5 linked regions of the Macaca fascicularis genome follow. The protein of the gene in region 1 interacts with the protein of each later gene in a pairwise test. Links are inferred from orthologs where the notes say so. Each region holds a gene or a part of one and is shown in the gene's direction. Other genes may lie near its edges.

Evidence for each region.
Region 2: the proteins of MRFAP1L1 (region 1) and TXN2 interact in binary tests that used the Homo sapiens proteins (3 or more experiments, as listed by UniProt). The two-hybrid records come from large-scale screens. The link is inferred for Macaca fascicularis from reciprocal best matches to the Homo sapiens genes MRFAP1L1 and TXN2.
Region 3: the proteins of MRFAP1L1 (region 1) and HTT interact in binary tests that used the Homo sapiens proteins (3 or more experiments, as listed by UniProt). The link is inferred for Macaca fascicularis from reciprocal best matches to the Homo sapiens genes MRFAP1L1 and HTT.
Region 4: the proteins of MRFAP1L1 (region 1) and C2H3orf62 interact in binary tests that used the Homo sapiens proteins (3 or more experiments, as listed by UniProt). The two-hybrid records come from large-scale screens. The link is inferred for Macaca fascicularis from reciprocal best matches to the Homo sapiens genes MRFAP1L1 and C3orf62.
Region 5: the proteins of MRFAP1L1 (region 1) and LNX1 interact in binary tests that used the Homo sapiens proteins (3 or more experiments, as listed by UniProt). The link is inferred for Macaca fascicularis from reciprocal best matches to the Homo sapiens genes MRFAP1L1 and LNX1.

Annotation. Positions count from the first base shown.
Region 1 is NC_088379.1:6,383,725-6,387,893, forward strand, and holds MRFAP1L1 (MORF4 family-associated protein 1-like 1), read left to right. Parts: upstream 1-1,499; 5' UTR 1,500-1,742; coding exon 1,743-2,126; 3' UTR 2,127-2,141; intron 2,142-2,726; 3' UTR 2,727-3,669; downstream 3,670-4,169.
Region 2 is NC_088384.1:15,187,221-15,191,211, forward strand, and holds the start of TXN2 (thioredoxin, mitochondrial), read left to right. Parts: upstream 1-1,191; 5' UTR 1,192-1,260; intron 1,261-1,515; 5' UTR 1,516-1,663; coding exon 1,664-1,672; intron 1,673-1,978; coding exon 1,979-2,241; intron 2,242-3,991.
Region 3 is NC_088379.1:3,292,314-3,296,560, forward strand, and holds the start of HTT (huntingtin), read left to right. Parts: upstream 1-1,447; 5' UTR 1,448-1,586; coding exon 1,587-1,822; intron 1,823-4,247.
Region 4 is NC_088376.1:112,265,874-112,269,888, reverse strand, and holds the start of C2H3orf62 (uncharacterized protein C3orf62 homolog), read left to right. Parts: upstream 1-1,215; 5' UTR 1,216-1,362; coding exon 1,363-1,808; intron 1,809-3,496; coding exon 3,497-3,588; intron 3,589-4,015. UniProt on the Homo sapiens protein: Essential for normal spermatogenesis and male fertility.
Region 5 is NC_088379.1:80,251,690-80,255,716, forward strand, and holds the start of LNX1 (E3 ubiquitin-protein ligase LNX), read left to right. Parts: upstream 1-1,227; 5' UTR 1,228-1,537; intron 1,538-4,027.

The DNA of each region.
Region 1 (4,169 bases):
TCTAGAACTGTGAGAAGATAAATGTCTGTGTTTAAGCCACCCAGTCTATAGTATTTTGTTATGGTGTTCAGACTAGACTAAGACATCCATCAAGAATGTATAAGAGTTCCAGTTGTTCCACATCTTCCCCAATACTTGGTATTGTCAGTATTTTCAATTTTAGTAATTCTAGTGGATGTACAGTGCTTCCTCGTTGTGCTTTCTAATCTGCATTTCCCTGTTGAATCATGAAGTTGAAAACCTCTTCATATACTTATTGGCCATTCGGATATTCTCTTTTGTGAAGTGCCAGCCTATGTCTTTTGCCTGTTTTAAAATTTTGTCTTTTCCTTCTTGATCTATAGGAGTTCTCAATATATTCTGCATGAGTCAAATATCTTTTTTCACGGTGCCTTGCTCTTTCCCTCTTAATGTTCTTTTGATGAACATCTGCTGGAATGTTGGTGTTTGCAAAACTGTTTCGCACACGTCATCTTACAAATCCCTCTTCCCACTGACAGATATTCAGGCTGGGGCCATTGGTCTTTATCAGACTGGAAAACTGAAGTTCTGATCTGTGGCACTTGTGTAAGAAGGATCCCCCCTCTACACACACTCATATTACTACTAGTGTGGCACTGGGTGACTAAGCCTAGCAATAGACTTCTTCCATTCCACAATGGCATTAGGTTGGTGATCAAAACGTATTGACGATCAAAGCCACATTTACTAGGTCCCTGCTCATTTTCAGGTCTTGTGTGTGGAGGGACATAAAGGTGACCAAGACCAGAACCTGTCCCCAAACAGCCTCCAGTCTGGTAGAGGCACTTAGGTACTAGGCAATTCCTCTCTCTAAAGCATTCTCTAAGGCCCTGCTTGACGCCAGGCTGACGGAAAGGGCGGAGGACAGAACTGAAACAGAAGTTGCCCTTTACCTTGAGGACCTTACAGACTCTGAAGAGAGACCAAAAATCACGGGCCAGAACCACCCAAGGCAGCGAGCGAAATTCCCCCCAGAACAAAAGTATGAGCCAGGGGTGGGGAGGACAGAGGGACGAGTTCCATTCTAGAACACTGAGCAGGGACTGTGGACCCACATTGCTTTGAGCTCAAATCACGACTTTTAGCCCGGTTTTTACTTCTCTTATAGGTTCGTTGTGAGGGCTAAGTGAATTCATATAAATTAATCCAAGCTTCTGCATGCTTAGATAGTAAGCGCTGTGAACGCCAGCCAGTCTTATTCAAATATGGGGAAGGGAGGGTCATTTTTACTTTAAAAAAATAATAATAAAAGTAAAACCCCTCTGAAGGGAAGCTTTAGGGGAAGACGCGAACAAACCTGCCGCCACCAATCTAAATTAGAGAAGAGGGCGAGGCGGGGCGCCGGGAAGCTGACGGGGATAGCCATGCGCGCGCCCGAGACCCCTTTACGTGCGCGCGCCCGCTACTGGGTCTCGCCGAAGGCGTGACCGTAAAGGAGCCCGGCTCTGTCGTGAAAGGGCCGCAAAAAGGCCGAGGGCGAGTTGACGGCTGCGACTCCATTTCGCAGGTCGCTTTGCTGTGTGTATCCACGGCGATTCTTCCCACGGAGTTCTAAAGCTAAAGGCTTACAATTAAAAGGAAGAAAAAAAGTAAAGATAATTCGGGAGTACTATTGACAAAGCGTGTGGGCTCAGCCTCCAGCAATCACTGCTGATCTCCAGTCCCTGGGGGGTTCCGGTAAGAAGAACGCCCCTCCGGTACTGAAGAAGCGGCAGGAGGAGATGCGGCCCCTGGACATAGACGAGGTGGAAGCGCCTGAGGAAGTGGAGGTGCTGGAGCCGGAGGAGGACTTCGAGCAGTTCCTGCTCCCGGTCATCAACGAGATGCGCGAGGACATCGCGTCTCTTATACGCGAGCACGGGCGGGCGTACCTGCGAACCAGGAGCAAGCTGTGGGAGATGGACAATATGCTCATCCAGATCAAAACGCAGGTAGAGGCCTCGGAGGAGAGCGCCCTCAATCACGTGCAGCACCCGAGTGGCGAAGCCGACGAGAGAGTGTCGGAGTTGTGCGAGAAGGCTGAGGAGAAGGCCAAGGAGATTGCGAAGATGGCAGAGATGCTGGTCGAGCTCGTCTGGCGAATAGAGAGAAGCGAGTCTTCTTGAAGGAGGAGATCGGCGGTAAGGTCGGAAACTCGCGGGAGCTTGGATGGAACTCAGTAGTCCCCCTAAGCATGGTTAAACCGCGCCCTGTAAAAAGTTATGTTCTAGGCCTGCATCCCCCATTTTATCGCATCAAAAATTGAGCATTGGGAACAAAGTTGGGGTCAAGAGGAAAGAATGCGTGCTGGTTTTGTTAGGTGTTAGTATACCGTTTTTTTGTGGCCTCGCCCTCCCACACTGGTAATTAGAGAAAAATAAAAGTAACTTCGGGTTTGTTTTTGTGAAACGTAAGTCAGTTCTAATAGGGCAGTCGCCAGGAAGTAGACCTGTCTCGGCACTAAGGGAGTTTGGGGAAAGCCACAGAAGACCTAGGCTGTGGAGCACAATGGAACGCAGGCTGAGAACGCAGGGAAAGAAATAAAAGAGTAAAGCCAGAGGCCATTACCTGAAATTTCCAGACTGTTCTATGAGACAGGTATGTCAGAGGACCGTGTCTCAAAGAAGTGGCATTCTTCTGGGTGGTTCACATTTATTTTTAACATCAAGATATGGAACTTTGAGAGTCAATGTCTTCATGGTAAATTTCTCCCAATTGTGCTTTAGGTTCACAGCTGAGGACTGTAGTCAACTGGTAAGGATGAACTGACACCTTGAGGAAACTGAAACAGCTTGTCATTTTCTCTGTTTTGTTTTTGTATGTTTTTTACCCCCATGTAACAGTCTCCCTTATGGTCAGTGATTGATGACCTCGATATGGATTTAGATCATCAAATGTGTTTGGTTCTGGAAATACAACTTTTGTCGAAGAAATACTTTCACAAGAGAAATGGGGCTTAATTAAGTTGTTTTCGTGGTCACGTTTATTCTTGTTACTTCGCTGTGTTTTTGAAATGTTGGGCATGGCCTTGTATTTTGCTGTTACCTTTGTGACCTGATCGTTTTTTGGAACACGTCAAGACTTGGGATCAGAATCTTCCAACTTTAGAGGTGCAGTGGAAGATACTACGCTGCCTGGTTGAGCCTGGTGAAGAATGTATTAATGAGACTGCTTTGCATAAAGCTGGGAAGAACGAGAAGACAGTTGGAGATGGAAGGTGGTTTTGTATATATTTTGGAACTTTAGTTCCTCTGTGAGATGAAAGAGGAGAGCTATGTTTTGTGGCACATTGTCTGATATATATTGTGTAACCTGTCAGGTGAGTTGATTTAGACCACATAGCTGACCTTTTATGACAAGGCAGTTTGATTAGGAACTGTCGTAATACCCTCACACATTACAGGGGCATCAGAGAATGGCATCGAAGAGACAGTCTACAAAGAGCTTTAAGAGGCCAGAGAAAGGAAAAGACATTATCAGGGCCTGGAAAGTCTCTTCCAGTTCATCAGGGTAGTAGACCTGTCAGATTGGAGGTCAAAGTCAAACGTATAGTAAGTATTAATTTGCCTTGAAAAACAAAGACCTAAAAAGCCTTTTTTAAAAAATAAATTTTTTGTTCACATGACCAAAGCCCCTCCTGTGTGTGTTAATAAAAGAATCATAAATCAATCTTTTTGAAATGGATGTTCTTCACTGAGTGTCATCAAATGGGGTTGAACTGCTTGTAGTTAAAGGCTCTTGGTAAGCCTTTAACTGAGGGAGAATTATTTCTGGAAGGTGCTGTGGAGATGAGCTGACGGAACACTCAGTTCTGAAGAGAAAAACTTTTCGGCTATCCTCTGGGCCAAGCCCCTGCTTTTCAGCAGCAGAAGTGTGTTTAGTCAACCAGTGGGAATGTAACGTGCTTCATATCTTATCCAAGGCACTAGGAACATAAAGGTGAGACATGGATGGGACGAAGGTGTGGGACAGAAATGGAAACAAGGAATTGCGATATAGAGTGTGTGGATATCATGTGGGAGCCCTGAGGAGGGAGTCAACTCTTAGTAGGGAAGTGTGTGAATTCAGAGCAGGTGACTTACCTGGGCCTGAAAAGTAGAAATGAATGAAGACATATAAGGCATAAGGATCAAAGTGAGCAAAAGCCTTTTGAGTTCCAGCACTGGGGA
Region 2 (3,991 bases), on another chromosome or scaffold:
TGCTTAAATTAAGCTCGCCTCAGTTTTTGTTTTCCTTTAGGTGGACACAGACGAGGGCCATTTAAGGATGACCCCTAAACCACGGGTGAGTTCTTTTACATATAAAGGGCACCATGCCTTTGAAGAGCTTAGCTTTACTTATTAAATGAAGAAACAGAACCTGTCAACATCTGTAGGAAGTGGACGGCGCCAGTTATAAACAGGAGGCCAAGCAAAGTGACTCACGCCTGTAATCCCAGCACTTTGGGAAGCTGAAGCGGGCGGATCACTTGAGCTCAGGAGTTCCAGACCAGCCTGGCCAACATGGCGAAACTCTATCTCTATTAAAAATACAAAAATTAGCCCGGCGTGATGGCGCGCGCCTGTAATCCCAGCTACCTGGGAGGCTGAGGCAGGAGAATCGTTTGAACCCGGGAGTTGGATGTTGCAGTGAGCCGAGATCGCGCCACTGCAACTCCAGCCTGGGAGACAGAGCGAGACTCTGTCATTAACCAATAAATAAATATAATTAAAATCAAGCAACAGTAGTTGACAAAATCAAAAACCACGGGGACCTCTCAACTGCCTTTTCTCCCTTAAGCACCCTTCATTGCTACCCCGGCGCCATCACCTCCTCTTCCGGTCCCTCCTCTAGGGCCCGCCCACCCCTTCCGGTTCCGCCCCGCGCCAGCCTTCGTCTCGACCAGGGCCTGCCCGCCTCTTCCAATCCCTCCCCCGACGGCCTGCCCATTGCTTCCGGTCCCTAGCTGAGGCCCCGCCCTTTCAGTTGTGCCTCCTCCCGCCATTCCCATTGGCGGAAAATCCCAGACGCTCCTCAAATTAGAGAGGGACAGGTCGGGGGCTGTGGCTCACGCCGGTAATCCCAACACTTTGGGAGGCCGAGGCGGGCGGATCACGAAGTCAAGAGATGGAGACCATCCTGGCCAATATGGTGAAACCCCGCCTCTACTAAAAATACAAAAATTAGCTGTGCGTGGTGGCGTGCGCCTCTAGTCCCGGCTACTCGGGAGGCCGAGGCAGGAGAATCGCTTGAACTCGGGAGGCGGAGGTTGCAGTGAGCCGAGATCGCGCCACTGCACCCTAGCCTGGCGACAGAGCGAGACTCCGTCTCAAAAAAAAATATTCGAGAGGGATGGTGTTCCGCCTGCCTGTCCCCGGAAGTGACGTTAATGTCCGCCTCCCTGAGGAAGTGACGACAGAAGTGCCCTTGACAGGCAGGGAGGGCTAAGCTGTGCATCCCTCCGCTCGCGTTGCAGGGAGGTAGGAGCTCAGTGGGGCTGGCTTGAGGTGGTGTGATAGGCATGCCGCGAGCGCGTTCCTGCGCAGGCTGGCGGCCGGACGGGTGGGGGGGACCTAGCTCGCCGGAGAGCCGGGGTCCCTGGTGGCGTCCGATTTTTCCCAGTTCCCTCCATTCATGTCCCTTCTTTATTAGTTCCCTCCAGTACATGTCTCTTCGTTTTTGGTTCCTACCATACTCTTAGATCCTCCTTCAATTGTTGCGTTTCATCTTTTCAGACGACCCTGGGTTCCAGTGTTGGCTGTCAGTAGTAGGGTTACTTTGGGCATGTCATTAACTTACTTGAGCCTCGGATGCCTTTCCTTATTTGCAATGTGGGCAGTACAATAGCAACTTCCTCAAAGTTGCTGTAGGAAGATCAAGAATATGTGTAAGGTACTTGGTCCTTACATAAATTATTAAATGTTGGTTTCTCCCTCCCGTTCTTCTGTTATAATCTAAATCCCGATTTCTTTTTGGTTGTGAAGCCAGTTTTCCTGTCCTTCTGGTTTGCCTAGCTGTTCCTTTCCTTTGTTTCTCAGCTTCCTCACTTCTACGCTACAAATCTTACATATTATTTCCTTGCATTTTGCTTCCCACTCTGCCTCTTCTTGAGCCCCGACTAATCCCCAAATCTCTTTATTTTTCTAGTGTGTCAGCTTCCTTTTGTGTGCCCCAATTCTTCTGCCTCTTCCCTCACAGATGGCTCAGCGACTTCTCCTAAGGAGGTTCCTGGCCTCCATCATCTCCAGGAATCCTTCTCAGGGTCGGTGGCCACCCCTCACTTCCAGAGCCCTGCAGACCCCACAATGCAGTCCTGGTGGCCTGACTGTAACACTCAACCCAGCCCGGACAATATACACCACCAGGATCTCCTTGACGACCTTTAATATCCAGGATGGACCTGACTTTCAAGACCGAGTGGTCAACAGTGAGACGCCAGTGGTTGTGGATTTCCACGCACAGTGAGTATTGGGGGTCCACGGAAGACTAGGGTCCTACTTGTTCAAGTATTTGTTGAATGCCTGCTATGTCCCAGGACCATGTTCTATGCTGCTCATATGTAGACTCAGTATACAGACTGGTCAGGCCTAGTCCCTGCCCTCAAGGGGAGTACAGTCTAGTAGAAGACAGATGAGTGAACAGTCTGCAAGCTGACTGCAGTTAGTGCTGGGAAACACATGTTCTGTTTCTTAATGTCCAGAAAGCTCAGCGTCATCTTCAACATGGACCAGAGTTGGAAAAATATGACTGTCACCTTGCTTTTGGTGTATATCAGTTCCTGGCCCTGCAGATGAGTTTATTTTAATACCTTGCCGTGAAAACTGCAAGAAGGGCTGGCAAAAAGTTATCAGTGTCGGCCGGGCACAGTGGCTCACACCTGTAGTGAGAGGCCGAGGCACACCTTTGAGAGGCTGAGGCAGGCAGATCACCTGAGGTCAGGAGTTTGAGACCAGCCTGGCCAACATGGTGAAACACCATCTCTACATCCAGGTGTGGTGGTGCTCACCTGTAATCCCAGCTACTCAGGAGGCTGAGGCAGGAAAATCACTTGAACCTAGGAGGCGGAGGTTGCAGTGAGCCAAGATCATGCCATTGCACTCCAGCCTGGGCAAAAAGAGCGAAACTCCATCTCAAAAAAAAAAAAAGTTAGTGTCATTACCATGGTGTCCAAGCATACAGGGCATAGGAAGGAGTGTCCTTTCAGTGCTGTCTTGAGTTTGCTTTAGAGATATTTAAGTCCCTCTGGCTTTCTGATTTTTAGCCTGGCCTTTTTTGTTTCTAGACCTTTGGGGCCTGGCTAGAGACCCAGCTACACAAAAACTGGACAAAGCCCTCTGAATGTGGCATCCTGGGAGAAACCAGTGTAGCAGAAGTTAAAAATTCAGGGGCCTTCAGGTCGGGCACAGTGGCTCACACCTGTAATCCCAGCACTTTCAGGGGCCGAGGCGGGTGGATTACCTGAAGTCAGGAGTTCGAGACCTGCCTGGCCAACGTGGTGAAACCCCCGTCTCTATTAAAAATACAAAAATTAGGTGGGCCTGGTGGCGGCCACCTGTAATCCCAGCTACCCAAGAGGCTGAGGCAGGAGAATCACTTGAACCTGGGAGGTGGAGGTTGCAGTGAGCTGAGATTGCGCCATTGCACTCTAGCCTGGGTGACAGAGGGAAACTCCATCTCAAAAAAAAAAAGAAAGAAAAAGAAATTGAAGGGCCTTCTGGTCAGTCTCTGACAGATTGTTCTGCCATCTTTCCAGTTGTTTCTCTGACTTACCCTGTGGCCTTGGGCAGGCCGCTTGATCTCTTTGTGCTCCCTTCTTCACTTGTAATAGGAGATAAGGTCTTGCATGCTGGGTTTTTAGGTGTTATGAGTTGTTTTTGTTTTTCTTCTTTTAGAGACAAGGTCTCACTCCGTCACCCAGGCTAGAATGTAGAGTGCAATGGTGTGATCACGACTCACTGCAGTTTCTACCTCCTGATCTCAAGCAGTCCTCCCACCTTGGCCTCCCAAAGTGCTGGGATTACAGGCGTGAACCACTGCACCAGGCCTGAGGGTTTTTTTTTCTTTTTTTTGTTTTTGAGACAGAGTCTCATTCTGTCACCCAGGCTGGACTGCAGTGGCTTGATCAGCTCACTGCAACCTCCGCCTCCCAAGTTAAGACGATTCTCCTGCCTCAGCTTCCCAAGTAACTGGGACTGCTGGTGCCTGCCACCA
Region 3 (4,247 bases), about 3.1 Mb from region 1:
CACAGAGCAGGGGACTCTGGGTTGCAGGTGTGGCCTGGCTTGAGTAGGCTTTAGTGGGCTTCTCTCTGCCTGCACCACCCCCGGGCTGGGTGGTTGTCTCTGAGGCCAACCCTACTCCCTAATGGGCAGGCTGGACAGCTGCCCTCTCTGTTTGCCCCTCTACCACCCAAAAGGCGGGAGGCTCTGGAGACCAGGACCCTGCCTGCGCCGGCCTGTGCCCCAGGCGTGAGGGGGTGCCCCACAGATCTCTGCTGAGCTGAGGCTGAATGGCACCCCTTGGGGGTCCTGCCAGGTCAGAGCAGGGTGCTTTCCCATACAGAAACGCCCCCAGGTCGGGACTCATTCCTGTGGGAGGCGTCTTGTGGCCACCGCTGCTTCTCGCTGCACTAATCACAGTACCTCTGTGGGCAGCAGGCGCTGACCATCCGGGCCTGCCTCAGACCCTCTCCTCCCTTCCGGGGCGCTGCGCTGGGACCGATGGGGGGCGCCAGGCCTGTGGGCACCGCCCTGCAGGGGCCGCTCCAGCTCACTGGAGGGTGGGGAGGGTCACACTTGGGGTCTTCAGATCGCGCCGACCACGCGCAATCTCTGCGCTCTGCGCAGGGGCTCGCCCACCCTCTCCCCGTGCAGCGAGTCCCCAGCAGGCTCCCCGCAGGGCTGTCCAGGTGAGCCTGGCTCTGGCCGCGGGCCAGTGTGGCGGGCGGGCAAGCCCCGAGGCCACCTCGGCTCAGAGCCCACGGCCGGCTCTCGCCCAGCTCCAGACGTCTGCGAGGGTTCCATTCCGCTTGGGCCGGCGCCCCGCGCGCCGCGCCCTGGCCCCGCCCCGCCCTGGCCCCGCCCCTCCCTCACCCCGCCCCCTCTGCACCCCACCCCTCCCTGGCCCCGCCCTCCGCGCCCCACCTCTCATCTTCCCGCCCCACCCCCAGCCACGCCCCTCACGGTCAGCCCCCTCCCCTATCCGCCCCGCCTCTCATCGTCTCGCCTCGCTCCGCCCCTCAGCCGTCCCGCCCCTCAGGCGCCCTGCCTAATGTCCCCGCCCCCAGCCTCGCCCCGCTCCGCCCCAGCCTCGCCCCGCCCCGCCCCTCAGGCGCCCTGCCTGCTGTGCCCCGCCCCAGCCTCGCCACGCCCCTCGTTACCATGTAGTCCCGCCCCGTTCCTTCCGCGTCCCGCCTCGCCCTGCCCCTTCACAGCTTCGCCCCACCCCATTACAGTCTTGCCACGCCCCGTCCCCTGTCCGTTGAGCCCTGCTCCTTCGCCCAGGTGGGGCGCTGCGCTGTCAGAGGCTTTGGTGGCTCTGTGAGGCAGAACATGCGGGCGCAGGGACTGGCTGGCTCCCTGGCCAGTCATTGGCAGAGTCCGCAGGCTAGGGCTGTCAATCATCCTGGCCGGCGTGGCCCCGCCTCCGCCGGCGCAGCGTCTTGAGACGCAAGGCGCCGCGGGGGCTGCCGGGACGGGTCCAAGATGGACGGCCGCTTCGGTTCCGCTTTTACCCGCGGCCCAGAGCCCCATTCATTGCCCCGGTGCTGAGCGGCGCTGCGAGTCGGCCCGAGGCCTCCGGGGACTGCCCAGCCGGGCGGGAGACCGCCATGGCGACCCTGGAAAAGCTGATGAAGGCCTTCGAGTCTCTCAAGTCCTTCCAGCAGCAGCAGCAGCAGCAGCAGCAACAGCCACAGCCGCAGCCGCCGCCGCCGCCGCCGCCGCCTCCTCCTCAGCTTCCTCAGCCGCCGCAGGCACAGCCGATGCTGCCTCAGCCGCAGCCGCCCCCGCCGCCGCCCCCGCCACCACCCGGCCCGGCTGTGGCTGAGGAGCCGCTGCACCGACCGTGAGTTTGGGCCCGCTGCAGCTCCCTGTCCCGGCGGGTCCCAGCCTACGGCGGGGATGGCGGAATCCTGCACCCTGCGGGCCGGCGACACGAACCCCCCCGGCCCCGCAGCGACAGAGTGACCCAGCAACCCAGAGCCAATGAGGGACACCCGCCCCCTCCTGCGGCGAGACCTTCCCCCACTTCAGCCCCGGTCCCGCACTTGGGTCTTGTCCTCCCGCGAGGGGAGGCAGAACCTCGTTGGGACCTGTCCTGAATTCACGGAGGGGAGTCACGGCCTCAGCCCTCTCGCCCTTTCCAGGGTGCGAAGAGTTGGGGCGAAAACTTGTTTCTTTTTATTTGCGAGAAACTAGGGCGGGGGTTTAACTGTGTTCTGAAGAGAACTTGGAAGAGCCGAGATTTGCTCAGGGCCACTTCCCTCATCTAGTCAGAGAGGGAAGAGGGCTGGGGGCGCGGGACACCTCGAGAGGAGGCGGGGTTTGGAGCTAGAGAGATGTGGGGGCAGTGGATGACATAATGCTTTTAGGACGCCTCGGCGGGAGTGGCTGGGGTGGGGGGCGGGGAGTGAGGGCGCGTCCAATGGGAGATTTATTTTCCAAGTGGCACTTAAAACAGCCTGAGATTTGAGGCTCTTCCTACATTCTCAGGGCATTTCATTTAGTTCATGATCGCGGTGGTAGTAACACGATTTTAAGCACCACCTAAGAGACCTGCTCATCTAAGCGCAAGTTAGTGTGCAGGCATTTGAATGAGTTGTGGTTGCCAAATAAGTGGTGAACTTACGTGGTATTAATAAAATTATCTTAAATATTAGGAAGAGTTGATTGAAGTTTATTGCCTGTTTGTGTTGGGAATAAAACTAACACGTTGCTGAGGGGGAGGTTAATTGCCGAGGGATGAATGAGGTATACATTTTACCAGTATTGCAGTCAGGCTTGCCAGAATATGGGAGGTCTGCAGACTCCGTGGACATCTCATGTGCCAGTGAAAGGGTTTCTGTTCGCCTCATTGCTGACAGCTTGTTACTTTTTGGAAGCTAGAGGTCTCTGTTGCTTGTTCTTGGGGAGAATTTTTGAAACAGAAAAAGAGACCATTAAAACATCTAGCGGAACCCCAGGACGTGGGAGTGTGTGCTGAGTGTTTAGCAGGATTTAGGAAGTACTCCGCTGCAGTTCAGGCCTTTCTCTTACCTCTCAGTGTTCTATTTCCGATCTGGACGTGTATCAGATGGCATTTGATAAGAATATCTCTATTAAGACTGATTAATTTTTAGTAATATTTCTTGTTCTTTGTTTCTGTTATGATCCTTGCCTTGTCTTGAAAGTTTAATTAGAAGAGGAGGATTTGGAGAGCAGTGTTAGCTTATTTGTTAGAGTAAAATTTAGGAATAAATTCTTCTAAAGGATGGAAAAACTTTTTGGATATTTAGAGAAATTTTTAAACAATTTGGCTTATCTCTTCAGTAAGTAATTTCTCATCCTTCCAGAAATTTACTGTAGTGCCTTTCTAGGAGGTAGGTGTCATAGAAGTTCACACATTGCATGTATCTTGTGTAAACACTAAACTGGGCTCCTGATGGGAAGGAAGACCTTTCTGCTGGGCTGCTTCAGACACTTGATCATTCTGAAAATATGCCGTCTCTTTCCTGTGCTGATTTGATAGAACCTGCGTTTGCTTATCTTCAAAATATGGGTATCAAGAAATTTCCTTTGCTGCCTTTACAGAGGAGATAGATTTTGTTTCATTACTTTATTTTAAGGTAATATATGATTACCTTATTTTAAAAATTTAATCAGGCCTGGCAAGGTGGCTCATGCCTTTAATCCGAGCACTTTGGGAGGCTTAGGCGGATGAATCACCTGAGGTCAGGAGTTCGAGACCAGTCTGGCTAACATGGTGAAACCCCATCTCTACTAAAAGTACAAAAATTAGTTGGTCATGGTGGCACGTGCCTGTAATGCCAGCTACCTGGGAGGCTGAGGCAGGAAAATCGCTGGAACCCGGGAGGCAGAGGCTGCAGTGAGCTGAGACTGCGCCACTGCACTCCAGCCTGGGTGCCAGAGCGAGACTCTTGTCTCAAAAAAAAAAAAAAAAAAAGAAATTATTATTTTTGCATAAGTAATACATTAACATGACACAAATTCCGTAATTACAAAAGAGCAATACTTAAAATATCTTCCTTCCACCCCTTTCATCTGAGTACCTAACTTTGTCCCCAAGAACAAGCACTATTACAGTTCCTCCTGTATCCTGCCAGATATAATCTATGCATATTGTAAGATAGATTTAAAATGCTGTAAAAATAAAAGTAGTTTACGGTAATAATTTTTTTTCTTTATTTTTTTTGAGATGTAGTCTCACATTGTCACCCAGGCTGGAGTGCGGTGGTATGATCTTGGCTCACTGCAACCTCCACCTCCCAGGT
Region 4 (4,015 bases), on another chromosome or scaffold:
CAGACTGCTAGTGTTCTGTCCAAAAACCAGACAAGGAAATACCCTTCTTTTATGAGCAGAAGGGGGAAAAAAAAAAAAAAAAGACCGTTTACCTAGAAGAAGCTATGTCAAGAGGCTGAATTATTTTTATTTTTAAACAGGTGGTGAGAAATTTCTGTGAAATCTGTGAAGCTGAAAAGGGGGTGGGATGGGGGTACACAATGGAGTATGTCTGATGGATCCCAAAGAATGGAGAGAAACACAGGCGCTGAGTATGGAGCAGCCTGGAGACCCACCCCACCTGCAGGGCTGCCCTGAGCGCCTGGATTTCTGGTTCTGATGCTGATACTAGTCACCCCAAGTAGTCTGCTCACAGTAACCCAAGCCTCAAGTAAACTCCCCTTTCCCTCGCTATGTGCACTGATACGGGTTTATAATTTTTTGAAAGTTACCCACTGAAGCCCATTTCTCCGTTGAGTCATCTTGTAATTTCCAGCTTTCTCCCCGCTAAGGAAATGAAGATATTTAGTGTTGGGGATCCTGGCTTCTCAACCTCCTGTGGAACCCAGCAGTTATGTTACATCCCCTGCTACCCTAGATGAATTAAGACGGTCAAATGCTGCGTGGAACTTTTATTAGATAACACACTTTTTATTAGGTAACACTTAAAGGAAGTCAGTACATAAAACTGCCTGGTGCTGTGTCCCATCCAGTTGTTTCCATGTTGGCTTGAGAACAGAAATCTTTGTGGGAGTTGTCAGCCTGGAAAGGGCTCCAGTTCATGACGATTTAGGGTAGTAATACATTTTGGTGTTACCCAGATGCTTTCTTGAACAGGTTCTTTCCTCATCCCTGCCAAGACTCTTACCGGGACCCGGGTCGAAAGACCCGTCCCCACTCCCACCGAGGGGCCAGCTGCTGCGTGTGGGGCCACAAGGCCTTAAGGAACCGGACATACGGGTCTGGGCTTTTTTGTTTGACCTTTAACCTAATCCGTGGGGGTCTGGGGCCTGCGCGGGGCGCGCGCATGCGATGACCGTTGGCTGGGTAGGCGTCACTGCGCTGCGGGTGAAGACAAGGACGTGGCTGCGACCTGTCGGAGGGCGGGGTGCGGGGTACGGCCGGGCGGCCTGGGAGCCGCGGTGGGGCGAGAGGCAGTAGCTGGGCGGGCCAGGAAGCTGTGGGAAGTGGGGCGGGGCGTCCTTGGGGCTTCTGGCAGATCGCGGGTTCCTCCGCGATAGCCGAGAACCGCCTACTCCAGGAGGAAAGCCCGAGGGTTGTGGGTCCTGCTGTAGCCAGGGCCAAGCTCCGGGAAATCGTGGCCGTTCAGGGGTAGTTTGCAGCCTTATTTGTAACATTATTGTGTTGCCCTGTGCATTTCCAATGCATTACATAAAGACATGGTCGCTTTTAGGAGAAATGTCTGAAAAACTAAGAAGATGCAGAAAGGAACTGACTGCAGCCATTGACCGGGCCTTTGAAGGAGTTAGTTATTCCCAGGAGTGCACAGGCCAGCGGAGGCTGGAACTGAGCGCTGCGCCGCTCTCCTCCTCGCTGCCCGTGCACAGACTCCTCTGCAGAAGACATCCTCTGGCAGCCTGCTCGTCTGCTGTTCCTTTTGCTGCTGTCCCATGTGCTCCTGAGAATGAGAACCCTGCCTTTGCAACAAACCATGCCCCGGTAAATGCAAAACCACATGCTCTGTGCCCCGAGAGAAAACCTCTGACCAGCAAGGAAAATGTATTGATGCATTCCTCCATTTTGGCATCTGAAAGAGAGTCTTGGAGAACTGCAGGAGAGGGGGAAAACTGGAGAAAAGAAAATTTAAGGTGATTCTAATTTTGATAGCTTAACAGCTACAATTAAGGGGATTGTTGTTTTTGAAAAAATTGTTGAAGATCCTAGATTTAGTTCATGACAGTGCTCTTACCTCCTCTTGGCAACTCTGTGACTGCATTTGGGGAGTTCATAGACATTCTTCAGAATCTGGCCTAGGAAACAGTTATATTTTGTGTATATGTTCCAGTTGAGGGGCTAGTTGTCAATCGTTGATGTCAAACCAGTCATGGAAACCACTTTGCAGTACCCAAAGGGGTAGTGGATGTAAAATAACCTGGTGTTTAAAATAACCTTATTTTTTAAGTTGCAGAAACAAAAGTCTTAATTCCATCTTAACTTCTGTGTTTGAATCTGGACACTGGGGCCTTTGATACCCTCCTTTGCCCACATTAGGGAGAGGCTGAATTGAAGTCTGGGCCCTACTTCCTGGCTTATCTTTGCCTCTGCTCCCCACTCTTACCCCAGAGTTTTTTGGACCATCACCAGGTCTCCTCTAGACTTTTTCTTCTCTCAAGTAACTTGAAATTGCCTGGTCCCAGACAGCTTGACTTGGAGAAGGGATGAACATAAGAGATGAAGCTTCAAAGTTCTGCCATCTTGGCTGCTTCATAGGAAGGGAATAAAGAGGCCATTTAATTCATTCAGCTCCACAAAAAATTTTTTTCCTTTCAACTCCACAAATAAATTGGTACTCATAAGCAGTGCAGGCCTTATTGGGTGTGGTGGCACGCCTGTAATCTCAGCACTGGGAGGCTGAGGTGGGTGGCTTGCTTGAGGTCTGGTGAAACCCTGTCTCTACTAAAAACACAAACAGTAGCCGAACGTGGTGGCGCGCATCTATAATCCCAGCTACTCGGGAGGCCGAGGCAGGAGAATTGCTTGAACCCAGGAGGCAGAGATTGCAGTGAGCTGAGATCTTGCCACGGCACCCCAGCCTGGGTAACAGCAAGACTCCATCTAAAAAAAAAAAAAAAATGCTGGGCATAGTGGCTCACGCCTGAATCCCAGCACTTTGGGAGGCTGAGGCGGATGGCTCACCTGAGGTCAGGAGTTTGAGACCAGCCTGGCCAACATGGTGAAACCCGTTTCTACTAAAAATAGAAAAATTAGCTGGGCGTGGTGGTGGCCGCCTGTAATCCCAGCTACTCCAGAGACTGAGGCAGAAGAATCGCTTGAACCCGGGAGGCAGAGGTTGCAGTGAGCTGTGATTGCGCCATTGCACTCCAGCTTGGGGGACAAGAGTGAGACTTCGTCTCAAAAAAATAAAATAAAATAATAAATAAATAAATGAAACAAACAAATGCAGGCTGGGTGAGGTGGCTCATGCCTGTATTCCCAGCACTTTGGGAGACCGAGGTGAGTGGATCGTATGTGCCCAGGAGTTCGAGACCAGCCTGGGCAACATGGCTAAACCCTGTCTCTAAAAAAGAAAAAAAATTAATACAGTCTGATACAGTCATGTGAGTCTGTAATACAGTCATGTGAGTTATTATGGTAAAGCTGTTAGTTTCTCCACTGACGTAGCAATTTCCAATTGTCCTCTAATCAAAGCATAAATGACAAGATCACCAGTAAGTTTTTGTCTTTGAGATTATCTAAAACTGAGTTTCCCTTCAATATTTTCTTGAAAGAGAATCTAATTCCCCACCTTTTCTTCCCCCCAACCTGGGGGCTGCAGGAAAGATATGGAGAGAGATTTGAAGGCTGACTCAAACATGGCACTCAACAATTCTAGCCAAGAGGTCACAAAGGATCTGCTTGAAATGATCGGTGAGTACAGTGGGCCAGTCCATCCTGTCCTTGGGAAGATAGGTCCTTCACATGGGTCTGAGTCAGCAAGTATCTCAGATTTAAGAAACACTCTCAGCCGGGCACAGTGGCTCATGCCTGTAATCCCAGCACTTTGGGAGGCCGAGGCGGGCAAATCACGAGGTCAGGAGTTCAAGACCAGCCTGACCAATATGATGAAACCCCGTCTCTATTAAAAATACAAAAATTGGCTGGGCCCGATGGCTCACACCTGTAACCCCAGCATTTTGGGAGGCCGAGGCAGGCGGATCACGAGGTCAGGAGATTGAGACCATCCTGGCTAACATGGTGAAACCCCATCTCTACTAAAAAATATAAAATATTAGCCGGGCATGGTGGCGGGCTCCTGTAGTCCCAGCTACTTGGGAGGCTGAGGCAGGAGAATGGC
Region 5 (4,027 bases), about 74 Mb from region 1:
TGGCAATTTTGCCTCATTCACTCCGTGGATTATTGATTAAAAGAAACTTGTAGCAGCTGGCTCCGAAAGTCAAAGGGACAAAGTGGCAATCAGGCCATGACCAAAATGCACACAGAGGCCAAGGAATTTGCAGTGTACTTCCTTGTTTGTAAATCAGAGTCACAGTGGAGAGCTGAAGGCACCGCAGCCAGCGGCACCACCTGTAATTAGGGAGCCACAAGTACCTGCACTCCATGTGTCTTTCTTGCATGTTGCACATACATAAGATAACACCGAGCTCCCGATTCACATCTCTGGAAAGAGACTACTTAATTCACTAATTATTCACATTTCTACTTAGAATCGAATTCCCAGAGCTTATCGCTTATTTAAGCAAAATCTTTGGCCATCACTGGAGCTGTCATCCCACAGAAGTGCTTAAGCAAACCAGTGGGAAAAGCAAAACTCAGAAAAGCACACTTCCAGAAGCGCAACGTTTACATTTTTAACTAGCTGGGTCACTTTGCAGGAACGACTTAATGTCTCTAATCCTCAGTTTCTTTATCTATATAATGGGAGTGATAATTATAGATTCTGTTGAGAATTAAATTAAATAATGCAGGTCAGGTAATTACTACAGAACCTGGTAGGCAGTAAGCACTTAATAAATGTTAGCAAAGATGTTGCAGCGGCTGACAATGATGGCGATGGTAATGCTGAAGAATGAGCAGAAGAAATCCTTATTTAAACAATCATTCTGTATCTTTAGAGTTAAGAGTCTTAAGTAGTATCAGCCACAAACTTGCTCAGTCTTTTTCTTTGTCCACAAACATTAGCCAGTGTTCAGTTATGAGCAATACTGCCGAGAGAAAATCTTTGAAAGTTTTGGCAAGGTATTGGAACAAGTCAGAACTACTTATTTGCCTGATATAGATTTTGGTGCATGTCCCTTTTCATATTCAAAAATAAAAGATGCCCAGGATTCTAGGGCCTGTCCAGTCAGCAGCCCCTGCCTATTAGCATGATAATGTTCCAGACCTAATGATGGCCTGAAGGTGTGGTGACCCTGTGTTTATTTCCTTGTTGATTTCCCTTCTCTGGCTCCAAGATCATTTTCCCATTGCCCACAGGAAACAACATCTAGGGGCGAGGTAGGCCTGACTTGGCAACCCTAAAGGTGAACAAAAGGATCTTGGCTTTTGGCAAAAGCAGAAGGAAGTTCAGGGGCGTCTCAGCCCCATCCAAACCAGAATAGATTTGTCACTGATGCTAATGCATGCTGCTCTGCAGGGGACCACTCTCCCGCTAAGCTCTCCATAGCTGCTCTCAGTTTTATGAATCTGCTCTACCCAAAGCCTTGCAGAAGGGACAGGGGATGCCCTGGTTAACCCCTGCATGTACAATGGTGGAGCAGTTTTGATGCATAGCTGGGACACAGAATACTGGAAAGAGAAAGAAAAATTTCCTGAGCTACTGCTAAGCCAGCAAAACTCATCTCTCAAACGGACTATCACCTGAGACTTCACACAGCTGGGAACTGATCCGCAATACAGCAAAGGTAAGATGGCCTAGTTCCTCTACAAGGTAGAATCTCATACCATTTTTTAAAAATGTCACCTCTGCCCACTCAGCCCCCAGTTCTCACCTCTCTCTCTCTCTCTCTCTCTCTCTCTCTCTCTCTCTCTCTCACACACACACACACACACAGACACACACACCCCCCAAACTGAGGAGAGTCTAAAAGATGGAAATATCTAGGTGTGTCTTTTTGAAAACACTAGAAACGCCTTGGCATTTCCTCTCTTTATACCCTATTTTTTTCTGCAGTGGCCTTCATTCAAAGCTTATTTACTTTGACAAATGAAAACGACTTGCCAGACAGATCAGTAAAAATATAAGTAATCCCACTAACAGTAACTGGGTTTATGCGACAATATTCTTTATCGGTATTTAAAACACATTCACACACAGACTTTGTTTCATTCCACAGTAGGAGTAGGTGTTGCATTGTAGTTTTACCCATGGATAAAGAGGTTGAGAGAAGCTGTGACCTGCTCATGGATGTGTAGAGTTGTGGGTGACCAGCAGCACATCCTGTCTTCATTCCTATCTCTTTTCAGTAGAATGGTGACCCTACTCTTTACAGAAAATTCCAGACTACATTCTTGGCCATGTATTCTGACAAATGGTCTGATGAGAGGATGGAATTTTAGAAATTGGAACTCTCAGGAAAATCCAGAAATAGATAGCCACAGTATCCTGTACAATACACCACCTTGTCATGTATTCCTGTTTACTTCCATTCCTGGGCATTGAATTCAGTTCAACAAATGTCGATAAACTATGTTCCCTGCTCCAACACTGACTGGCTCATATGTCAGGGCGTGGTGCAAGTCCTGTGCCCAAGGAATGCTGAGGCAGTGCAGAGTAGGATGGCGGGGTGGGGGGCTTCCCTAAAGAGGTGAGCTTCAAGTAAGCTCAGCATAAAGAGTGGACTTGGATTGAGGGAGAGCATTCAGATACACAAATCCCCCGGGAGGAATTTGTTGAGTGAACATTTACTTACACCAAGTCCATGGTGGCAGAGCTGAGGGGCAAGGAGCACAGCCTGAGGAATTAGACTGTCTGGCCTTGACTCTTGGTTCTACTTCCCACTAGCTCTGCATCTTGGAGTACCTCAGTTAACACCGCTAACCTCACCTTGCCAATATGTAAAATGAGAATGATGGTAATACATCCCTCATAAGGTTGTCTTCAGCTGTGAATGATTATGTATGGGAAGTCTTTCCTGATGCATAACAACTGCACAATAAATATTAATACTAACTAGTGTGATGACCATGTGCCTGGCTCCAAGGGAGATGCAGGGAATACAGATAAGAGGAGGCCTACCCTCAGTGTAATCAAAACGTCATGAGTTAGTTGTGTGCAGCTAATGACATGAGATGTGATGCATGCTCTGGAACCACGAGGGTGGAATCTTTTAAGTCTGTGTGAGTTAGGGTTGGGGTTCTGGGGGGACAGGGAAGGGGGCAGAGGTTTCACAGCAGAGGCCCTATGTGTAGGGCGGTAGTATAGATCAGTGAAAAGAGCTAGACAGATCTAATTTTGAATCCCAGTTTCCTCCTCTATTTACGTATCTATTTATTTCTATATTAATCTATATGTATTGAAAGCCATAAATTCATACTGCCAATTCATACTTCCAATTCATACTTCCAATTCCAATCCAACACTCCCTTTCTACATTTGTAACTCCCTTCTCTAACATTCATCAGAAGCTGGCTCCCATTATCCTTAATATATTATATGCTTATTCACTCAATCCCCCAAATGTCATCAACTGCCATCATGACACTGTCCCCTGCCCCATGCAGACGCCCTCCGCACCCTGACGCTTTGTTCTGGGCCGCCCTGAGCTGGCTCCTGGAATTCTGGAGCTACCATATGTCCTCCACACGCGCACAGGTGCCTACTTTGCTCAGCCCTATGTAATGTCTTTAAGGACTGTGACACATGCTATACATTTGTGTATGTACCTGTGTTGTCACTGTCTTTGGAGGGGGATAGAGCTATCTCCTCCATACAGGTAGGGCACATGTCCTCAGCATCAGGCCTGAAGAAGCCAGGCTCATTCCATTCATTCTATTCCACTTGGTCTGCTGATCTATATGGATGTGGACTGCTCACTGTATGCTCGGGGTAGTAACAACATTTCCAGGGGTGAAAAGTACTATTTGGGCAGTCACTGTTCCTTTTGCTTCTCTGTCAAGTCCTTGTCTAGGTTCTCCATTATTCATTTACTTAACAACAGATATGAAGCACTTACAAGGTAACTGGTGCTTGGTTAGGGTGGGACATAGAGATTTAAAACCTTAGTCACCACCCTCAAGGAACTCCCAGTCCACTGTGGGAAGCAGACAAGCCATAAATTTCCATTCCATGTGGCCAAGTGCAATGAGAGCCTACACAGCCTGCCATCAGAGGGCACCTAGCTCAGACTGGGTGGGCACAGAGGAGATACCCAAGGGGAATCCTAAATGGGCAG